2 linked regions of the Caenorhabditis elegans genome follow. The protein of the gene in region 1 interacts with the protein of each later gene in a pairwise test. Each region holds a gene or a part of one and is shown in the gene's direction. Other genes may lie near its edges. The genes, in order: mog-2 and rnp-3.

The links.
Region 2: the proteins of mog-2 (region 1) and rnp-3 interact in a two-hybrid assay, tested with the Caenorhabditis elegans proteins (one study listed by BioGRID).

What each region holds. Positions count from the first base shown.
Region 1 is NC_003280.10:4,322,848-4,326,770, forward strand, and holds mog-2 (putative U2 small nuclear ribonucleoprotein A'), read left to right. Parts: upstream 1-1,513; 5' UTR 1,514-1,519; coding exon 1,520-1,749; intron 1,750-2,488; coding exon 2,489-3,020; 3' UTR 3,021-3,195; downstream 3,196-3,923. Other genes in the region: H20J04.6 (Transmembrane protein 222), read left to right, coding at 413-498, 551-635, 686-811, 860-1,069; pfd-2 (Prefoldin subunit 2), read left to right, coding at 3,873-3,923. UniProt on the Caenorhabditis elegans protein: This protein is associated with sn-RNP U2. It helps the A' protein to bind stem loop IV of U2 snRNA. Required maternally for early embryonic development and zygotically for germline and somatic development. Has a role in the switch from mitosis to meiosis.
Region 2 is NC_003282.8:4,172,009-4,175,931, forward strand, and holds the start of rnp-3 (RRM domain-containing protein), read left to right. Parts: upstream 1-2,080; 5' UTR 2,081-2,086; coding exon 2,087-2,153; intron 2,154-2,731; coding exon 2,732-3,158; intron 3,159-3,923. Other genes in the region: rnp-2 (RRM domain-containing protein), read left to right, coding at 100-276, 326-388, 465-685, 1,731-1,890.

The sequences.
Region 1 (3,923 bases):
TTCGATCTTTGCCTGATAAAGACTTATGCGCCTTTAGGAATGGGTAGTACGGTAGGGTTTAATTTCCGCTTTGGCTTTTTTGTTCATAAAAATTCCAATTAAATTAGAATTTTCCTATTTTTAGTTGCCGAATAAATATTAAATTTTCTTATTATTCCAAGTTTTTTGCGCGTACAATACTGCGCATTGTGTGCAGTTTCGCCGCGCGGTGTTTGCGGACATTTGAATTTTCGATTTATTTTTTTCCAGAATTTTGCGTTTTTCGATTGTTTTCCTTCAATTTTGAGGCGATTTTTTGATTTTTCGGCTTAAAATTATCACGAAATTTTGTTTCATACATTTTAAACGTTTTAATCACCTGATCTGCTCGTTTTTTTCCAATTCACCAGTGTCTATCTCCATTTCTAGGTCAATGATGCCGCTCACCGACCGTGACATCTGCCCAGAAAACAATCGGTATCCATACTGCATTGTTTGGACTCCGATTCCATGCCTGACGTAGGAAATATCTAATTTTATCCCAATAATCCAGCTAAAAATGCTGTTTCAGTTGGTTTTTCCCATTCATCGGCCACATGGGAATCGCGAATAGCCGTGGAATCATTCGAGACTTTGCTGGGAGCTATTATGTGGCGGTTTGTGCCCAAATTCAATTTATTACTTCCAAAAAGTAGAATATTTTTAGGAAGACGACATGGGATTCGGCTGGCCCACAAGATACTGGCAATTAGGCCCGGAAAAGGTGGAAGGTGGCGCGGAAGTCTTCGATAGAGCAGTTCAAGATGCTTCCGACACGTATAAAACTAGAACTGTACGGTTTTTAATCGATTTTTCCGATCAATATTTCATTTATTTCCAGCACAATCTCATCTGCGATAATTGTCACTCGCACGTGGCTCTGGCTCTCAACAAAATGCGCTACGATGAGCGCGAGGACTGGAATATGATCAATTTGGCGTGGTATTCACTGACAAAAGGAAGCTTCGTTCGTAACACGGATATGCTCGCTCAATACCTTCCATTCGTTATAATTGTCTTCATTTTCGTTGCGCTGTGGGCTTTTTTATAATTTTTGACCATGGGAATTCTACAAAATGACCTATTTCATTATGTTTTCCAGCATATTTTCATTGAAAATTAGATTTATCTAGAAACAGCATTTATTTCAGCCGAAACAGTTGAGAAAATGAACAAAAATGGACGTTTCAGCTGGAATAAATGGTAATTTCAGAGAAATCGAGGGATTTTCTATATTTTTACACTGATTTTTCGTGAATAATGCTGAAAAACATGGTTAAATAGACTATTTTGTGGAATAATTTGATCTCATGTAAAATATAGTCCAACTGTTAAATATTTCGTGTGATATATTATGTAAAATGTATTTTTTTTCTGTAATTTTCATATATATTTTTTTCAAGTTTTCTTGATGTTTAACCGGTTTGCAGCCGACTTTTTGTCTATCTTCTATGTTTTTTTGTTATTTTTTACATTGAAAACCCCCTAATTCCAGCGAAAAATGGTCCGTCTCACGACTGAGCTGTTCGCCGAGCGTCCACAATTCGTCAATTCGGTCAATATGCGGGAGATCAACTTGCGCGGCCAAAAAATCCCCGTAATCGAGAATATGGGAGTGACGAGGGATCAATTCGATGTCATCGATCTGACTGACAACGATATCAGGAAATTGGACAATTTTCCGACGTTTTCTCGTTTGAATACGCTGTATCTTCATAATAATCGAATCAAGTGCGTAGTTTTCCGAAAAACGAGCGAAAAGTGGCTAAATTTAGCTAAAAATATAGAATTTTGCACCATATTTTGCTGGAAAAGCCCAAATTTTAGCTAAAAATTCCAATTTTGCCAATTTATCCGTGTTTTAGTGCTTTTCCAGTCGATTTGTACCCAACTTTGGTTATTTTCGACTGAAAAGTACCGAAAAATGGGGTTTCCTGGCAGAATTCGGTGATTTCAGCTTGAAATAGGGTTTTAAAAAATTTTAAACCGGAAAATTCTGACAAACTTCCCTAAATTGAATTTAAAAAATTGAAAAAAAAACGTTTCTTTGCTCTGAAATTTCATGAAATTTCCAAATTTTTTTTTCGGCAAGTTGGCGAAAAATTCAGATTTAGCCGGATTTCGCTATTTTTTCCAAAAAAAAAAAACGAAAAAATCAGTTTTTTATGAAAGAACATAGGAAAAATATAATTTTTTTCCTGAAAAAGTTCGAAAAATTTTAAGCCATTTTTCGAAAAATCGAAGTTTTTTTCGGAAAGTAGGGGAAAAAATCGATTTTTCAGAAAATATCCTAAAATTTTGGTCATTTTCAAATTTTTAAAATACTTTCTCTAATTTATTCTTCAAAAATTTAAATTTTATGGTTACTATTTCCTGAAAAAAAATTAAAAACCCTCCATTTTTCATTGCAAAACTGCTTTTTTCCCACATTTTCGAGCTCCATTCCCACCAATTTACCCCATATTTTCAGCTATATCGCACCCGACATTGCCACAAAACTTCCAAATCTCAAAACTCTTGCACTGACCAACAACAACATTTGCGAGCTCGGAGACATTGAGCCACTGGCAGAATGCAAGAAGCTCGAGTACGTGACATTTATCGGAAATCCGATAACTCACAAGGACAATTATCGGATGTATATGATCTACAAGCTGCCGACGGTTCGAGTGATTGACTTCAATCGAGTCAGACTGACAGAACGTGAAGCTGCGAAGAAGATGTTCAAAGGAAAAAGTGGAAAGAAGGCGAGAGATGCGATTCAGAAGAGTGTTCATACAGAAGATCCATCAGAAATTGAACCAAATGAGAATAGTTCGGGTGGAGGTGCTCGGCTTACTGATGAAGATCGGGAGAAGATCAAGGAAGCGATCAAGAATGCCAAGTCACTCAGTGAAGTCAACTATCTTCAGTCGATTCTGGCATCGGGAAAGGTTCCGGAAAAGGGATGGAATCGTCAGATGGATCAGAATGGTGCCGATGGGGAAGCGATGGAGTCTTGAAAAATCTTGAAAATTGCAGAATGTGCTGCTAAAATTTATTTATTTATTTTATTTGATTTTTTTAATGTTAAAATGATACTCCTTGTTTTATTTATATTCTCATTTTTTTCCAATTTTTTCCCAGTCTGTCTTCCCTTTTTTTGTAATTTTTATATACCATAAAACAATATTTCCCCTATTATTTTTGATATTTTTATCGATTTTTCAAAGGTTCCCCGTGCCTTTTTATATTTGATTTTTTGAAATTTTTGCAACAAAAAGTTAGAAAAAAATCCTTTTTCAGCCATTTTTGTGTTTTCCGGCTATTTTTTATTATTTTATTAATTTTGAGAGGTTCCCACTGGGAACTTCCCAGCGCCTTCAAATATCTATTTGGAAAAAAAAGGTTTAAAAATTGGAAAAAACGCGGATTTTTTTTTGAATTCTCGCCTAAAATAATCCATTTTTTGTGTTTTTTTGTCATTTTTCCGCAAAAAAAAAACTTCAAAACCCTTAAAAAAATGCGTTAAAACTCTAAAATTACCCTAAAAATCGATAATTTTAGACTTTTTTTTTCACAAAAACTATCGATTTTTGGCTAATTTTAGAGTTTTCAACTTTTTTTGCTGAAAAATGACTGAAAATGTGACAATGAAAAACCGATAAAAAAAGCCGGAAAATACAAAAATGTAGAAAATCGGTGAGAAATTCAAAAATAAATCGGCTTTCACTAGTTTTTTTGCAAAATATTTTGAAAAATCTTTTTTTTTCAATTATAAAAATTTTTTTTGGTCAGTTTTGGCAAAAAAAACCAAAAAAAAACTGGCTCTCTACCATTAAAACAATTATTTTCAAAAAATCCACAACTTCCAGATGTCGGCCGCTCAAACCGCCGCCGCCACTCCAGCCGAGCAAGAAGAGCAA
Region 2 (3,923 bases), on another chromosome or scaffold:
TAATTTCAATAATTTTTATCGGTTTTCTTCGATTTTTTCGCACTTCCCCCCAGTATTTTTTCAATTTTTCCGATAAAAATACAAATTTTCCAGCTAACAATGGCAGAAGTTGCGCCGAACAGCACTCTGTACATCAACAATCTCAACGAGAAGATCAAAATCGATGAGCTGCGAAAATCGCTCGTCGCCGTCTTCAAACAATTCGGCGAAATTGTCAGTGTGATGTGTTTCAGGACGCTGAAGATGCGCGGGCAGGCTCATGTGATTTTTAAAGAGGTTTTGCAGAAAATCCGAGACTTTTCCCTAAATATTGAAGAATTTTCAGCTCCCCGCCGCATCTGCCGCCCGAGAAGCGTTGAATGGTTTTCCATTTTACGAAAAGCCAATGGTACTATATTTATCGATTTAATTTCGATTTTCTCATTTTTCTCCGCTAAATCCCGCTGAAATATCGATTTTTCCAGAGAATTCAATTCGCAAGGGAGGATTCTGACGTCGTCGCCCAGGAAAAGGGGACATATATCAAGCGGGAGCCCAAATATCTATCGGAGAAGATTCTGAAGAAGCCAAAGAGCCGAAAGAAGGAAAATGGAGGCGATGGACCAGCGCCGCCCAACAAAATCCTATTTTGCACGAATCTTCCAGATTCGGCGACCGCTGAAATGCTTGAGATTATGTTCAATCAGTGCGTGGCGTTTTTCCAGCTGAAAAATTGAAAAAATTGGCTGAAAATTCGAGATTTTCACGAAATTTGCTCCAAAATGTTGATTTTTCAGTCAGAAATAGATGTTTGGGCAGTTTTTCTCAAGCTTTTTTCCGATAAAACTGGAAATTTCACGTTTTCTGCTGAAAATCATGGAATTTTACCTAAAAATTCATTTTTCGGCTTAAAATTACGAATTTTATTTTAAAAATTAGCGTTTTTTTGCTGAAAATCGATAAATCAAAAAGTACAAAAATCTAAAATTTCGTAAGAAAAATTGCATTTTTTTTTCCCTAAAAATTCAATTTTAACTCCAAAAATTGAATTTTCCCCGTTTTTCACTCAAATAGTCACCTTTTTGGCTGAAAATCACGATTTTTAGCTCTGAAATTTGATTTTTCAGCGGAGATTTGTAATTTTCGTCTTAAAATGTAAATTAACGGCTCTAAAAATAATATTTTCCACTATTTCCACTCAAAACTTCCAAATTTTTTTCCGAAAATTACGATTTTCTTCTCAAAAATTGAATTTTTCAAGTAAATTTGGAAATTGTTGGTTGAAAATCCGATTTTTCCCTAATTTTCACACGAAAAATCTTTTTTTTGGGCTTAAAATGATGAAAATTGTAAATCTTCGACTTAAATATCACCTTTTAACTGCATTTTCACACCTTTTCACTCAAAAATTTCAAAAATTTGATTGAAAACCATGATTTTTAACCTAGAAATCGCATTTTTCTACTGATAATTTAGAAAATTTTGCAGAAATTCTCATTTTTTAACTCAAAAAAACCTCCATTTTCCCCTTAATTTTCATCATAAAACCCCAATTTTTTAAAAACAGTTTTGAGTGGAAAAGTCACCTTTTTGGCGAATTTTTCAAGTAAAATTAGAAACTTTTGGCCGATAATTTCAATTTTTAACTCTAAAATTGGGAAATTTCAAATTTCCGGCTGAAAATCTCGATTTTTAACTCAAAAAAGCCCGTTTTTTCCCCAATTTTCACTCAAAAATTCAAATTTTTCCAGATTCGCGGGTCTCAAAGACATTCGAATGGTTCCAAATCGTCCAGGAATCGCTTTTGTCGAATTTGACACAGATTCTTTGGCAATTCCAGCACGTACAACACTCAATAACTTCAAAATCTCGGCGGAGCACACGATGCGTGTCGATTACGCTAAAAAATAAATGGATCTCTCTGGAATTTGATGAAAATTTTAATTTATATATATTCATATATTCAAATGTTAAATATTAAATTTTTTTCAAAAAATCGATTTTTCTGTTTTTTTTTTTGCGATTTTTCGTGGTTTTTTGCCATTTTTCCATATTTTTCACCATTTTTTCGCCCTTTTTTCGACTTTATCCACTTTTTCAGGTTAAAATGGCCGACATCAACCCGAATCACACGATCTATGTGAACAATCTCAATGAGAAAGTCAAGAAAGATGGTACGGACGATTTTTAGCGTGGAAAAATGGATTTTTGCGAAAAAAAAACTGGACAAAAGAATGGAAAATTCCCATTTTCAGCTAAAATTGCAAAAAAAGTTTTCTCTATTTAAAAACGTTTTTTTTTGTGATTTTAGCTGAAAAATTGCCTTTTTACAGTGATTTTCATAAAATTGAATTTTCTGTAATTTCGCACTATTTTTGATTAAAAAATTGAGTTTTTCATTAACTTTTAAAAAATTCAGCTGAAAAATAAATATTTCCCCTTTTTTGCGAAAAAAATTGAAAAAATACAATTTTTGTTGCTGAAAATCCGGAAAATCCTCGTAAAGCTCAGTTTTTCAATTTTAAGTGCAAAAAATCGCAAAACTAAAAAAAAGTGAAATTTTTCTCATAAAAAATTCAAAATTTCGAACTTTTAACCTAAAAAACTCGAAAATTCACCAAAATTTCGAATTTTTCTCCAAAAACTCAAGAAAAATCGATTTTTTTCAACTAAAAAAATTCAAAACTTGTCCAAAAATTCGAATTTTTCACCTAAAAACCCCCAAAAAATTGCGAAAAACTCAATTTTTCAGAACTCAAACGCTCTCTTCACATGGTTTTCACACAATTCGGTGAAATAATTCAGCTAATGTCATTTCGAAAGGAAAAAATGCGCGGACAAGCACATATCGTCTTCAAAGAGGTCTCATCAGCGTCAAATGCTCTTCGAGCCCTGCAAGGATTCCCATTTTATGGAAAACCAATGAGAATTCAATATGCAAGAGAGGATTCTGATGTGATTTCTCGTGCCAAAGGAACTTTTGTCGAAAAACGACAAAAATCCACGAAAATCGCCAAAAAACCATATGAAAAACCGGCGAAAAATGGAAAATCGGCAGCGGAGCCGACTCAAAAGGAGCCGCAGGAGACTGACGGACCAGGATTGCCGAATAATATTCTTTTCTGCTCGAATATTCCAGAAGGAACCGAGCCAGAACAGATTCAGACCATTTTCAGCCAGTAAGTGGCTTTGGATCACTTTTTCAGCAAAAAAAAATTTCAAAAGTTGAAGGATTTTGAGCATTTTCAGCTAAAAAAGGTGTAAAAATCCGTCAAAATTGAATAAAATTGCTGGAAATTGAGATTTTAAGCTTTTTTTGCGAAAAAACTGTCTAAATTGAATAAGAAAGCAGAAAATTGTGATTTTCAGCTAAAAAATATACTTTTATTGCTGAAATTTCAATTTTCAGCCAAAAATCGAAATTTTGGGCTGGATTTCAATAATTGAGTCGAAAATCCGAATTTCAGCAAAAAATGTTAATTTTTTATTCTAAAAATCGAATTCTCGGCTGAAAATCGCATTTTTCAGCTAAAAAATATACTTTTCTTGCTGAAATTCAGAAATTTCAGCTTAAAAATCGTGGATTTTAGCCAAAAATGGAAATTTCCAGCTACAAATCCAAAATTTCGGCTGAATTTTAATATTTTAGGGAAAAATATGGATGTTTAGTGAAAATCTGAAATTTTCAAACAAAATTGATCAATTTTCTGCCTAAAAATCATCGAATTTTTGGCTATGTATTCGCAGAAAATCAAAAAATTCACAGCTAAAAATATTAAATTATATCTTGAAAATGTGTATTTTCAACCGAAGTATCCAATTTTCAGTAAAAAATCCAGATTTCCGGCTACAATTTTAAAGTTCAGCTGAGTTTCGTTTTTTTTTTCAGTCAAAAAACAAAATTTTTAGCTAAAAATCTGAAATTTGAGCTTTTTATGCCCGAA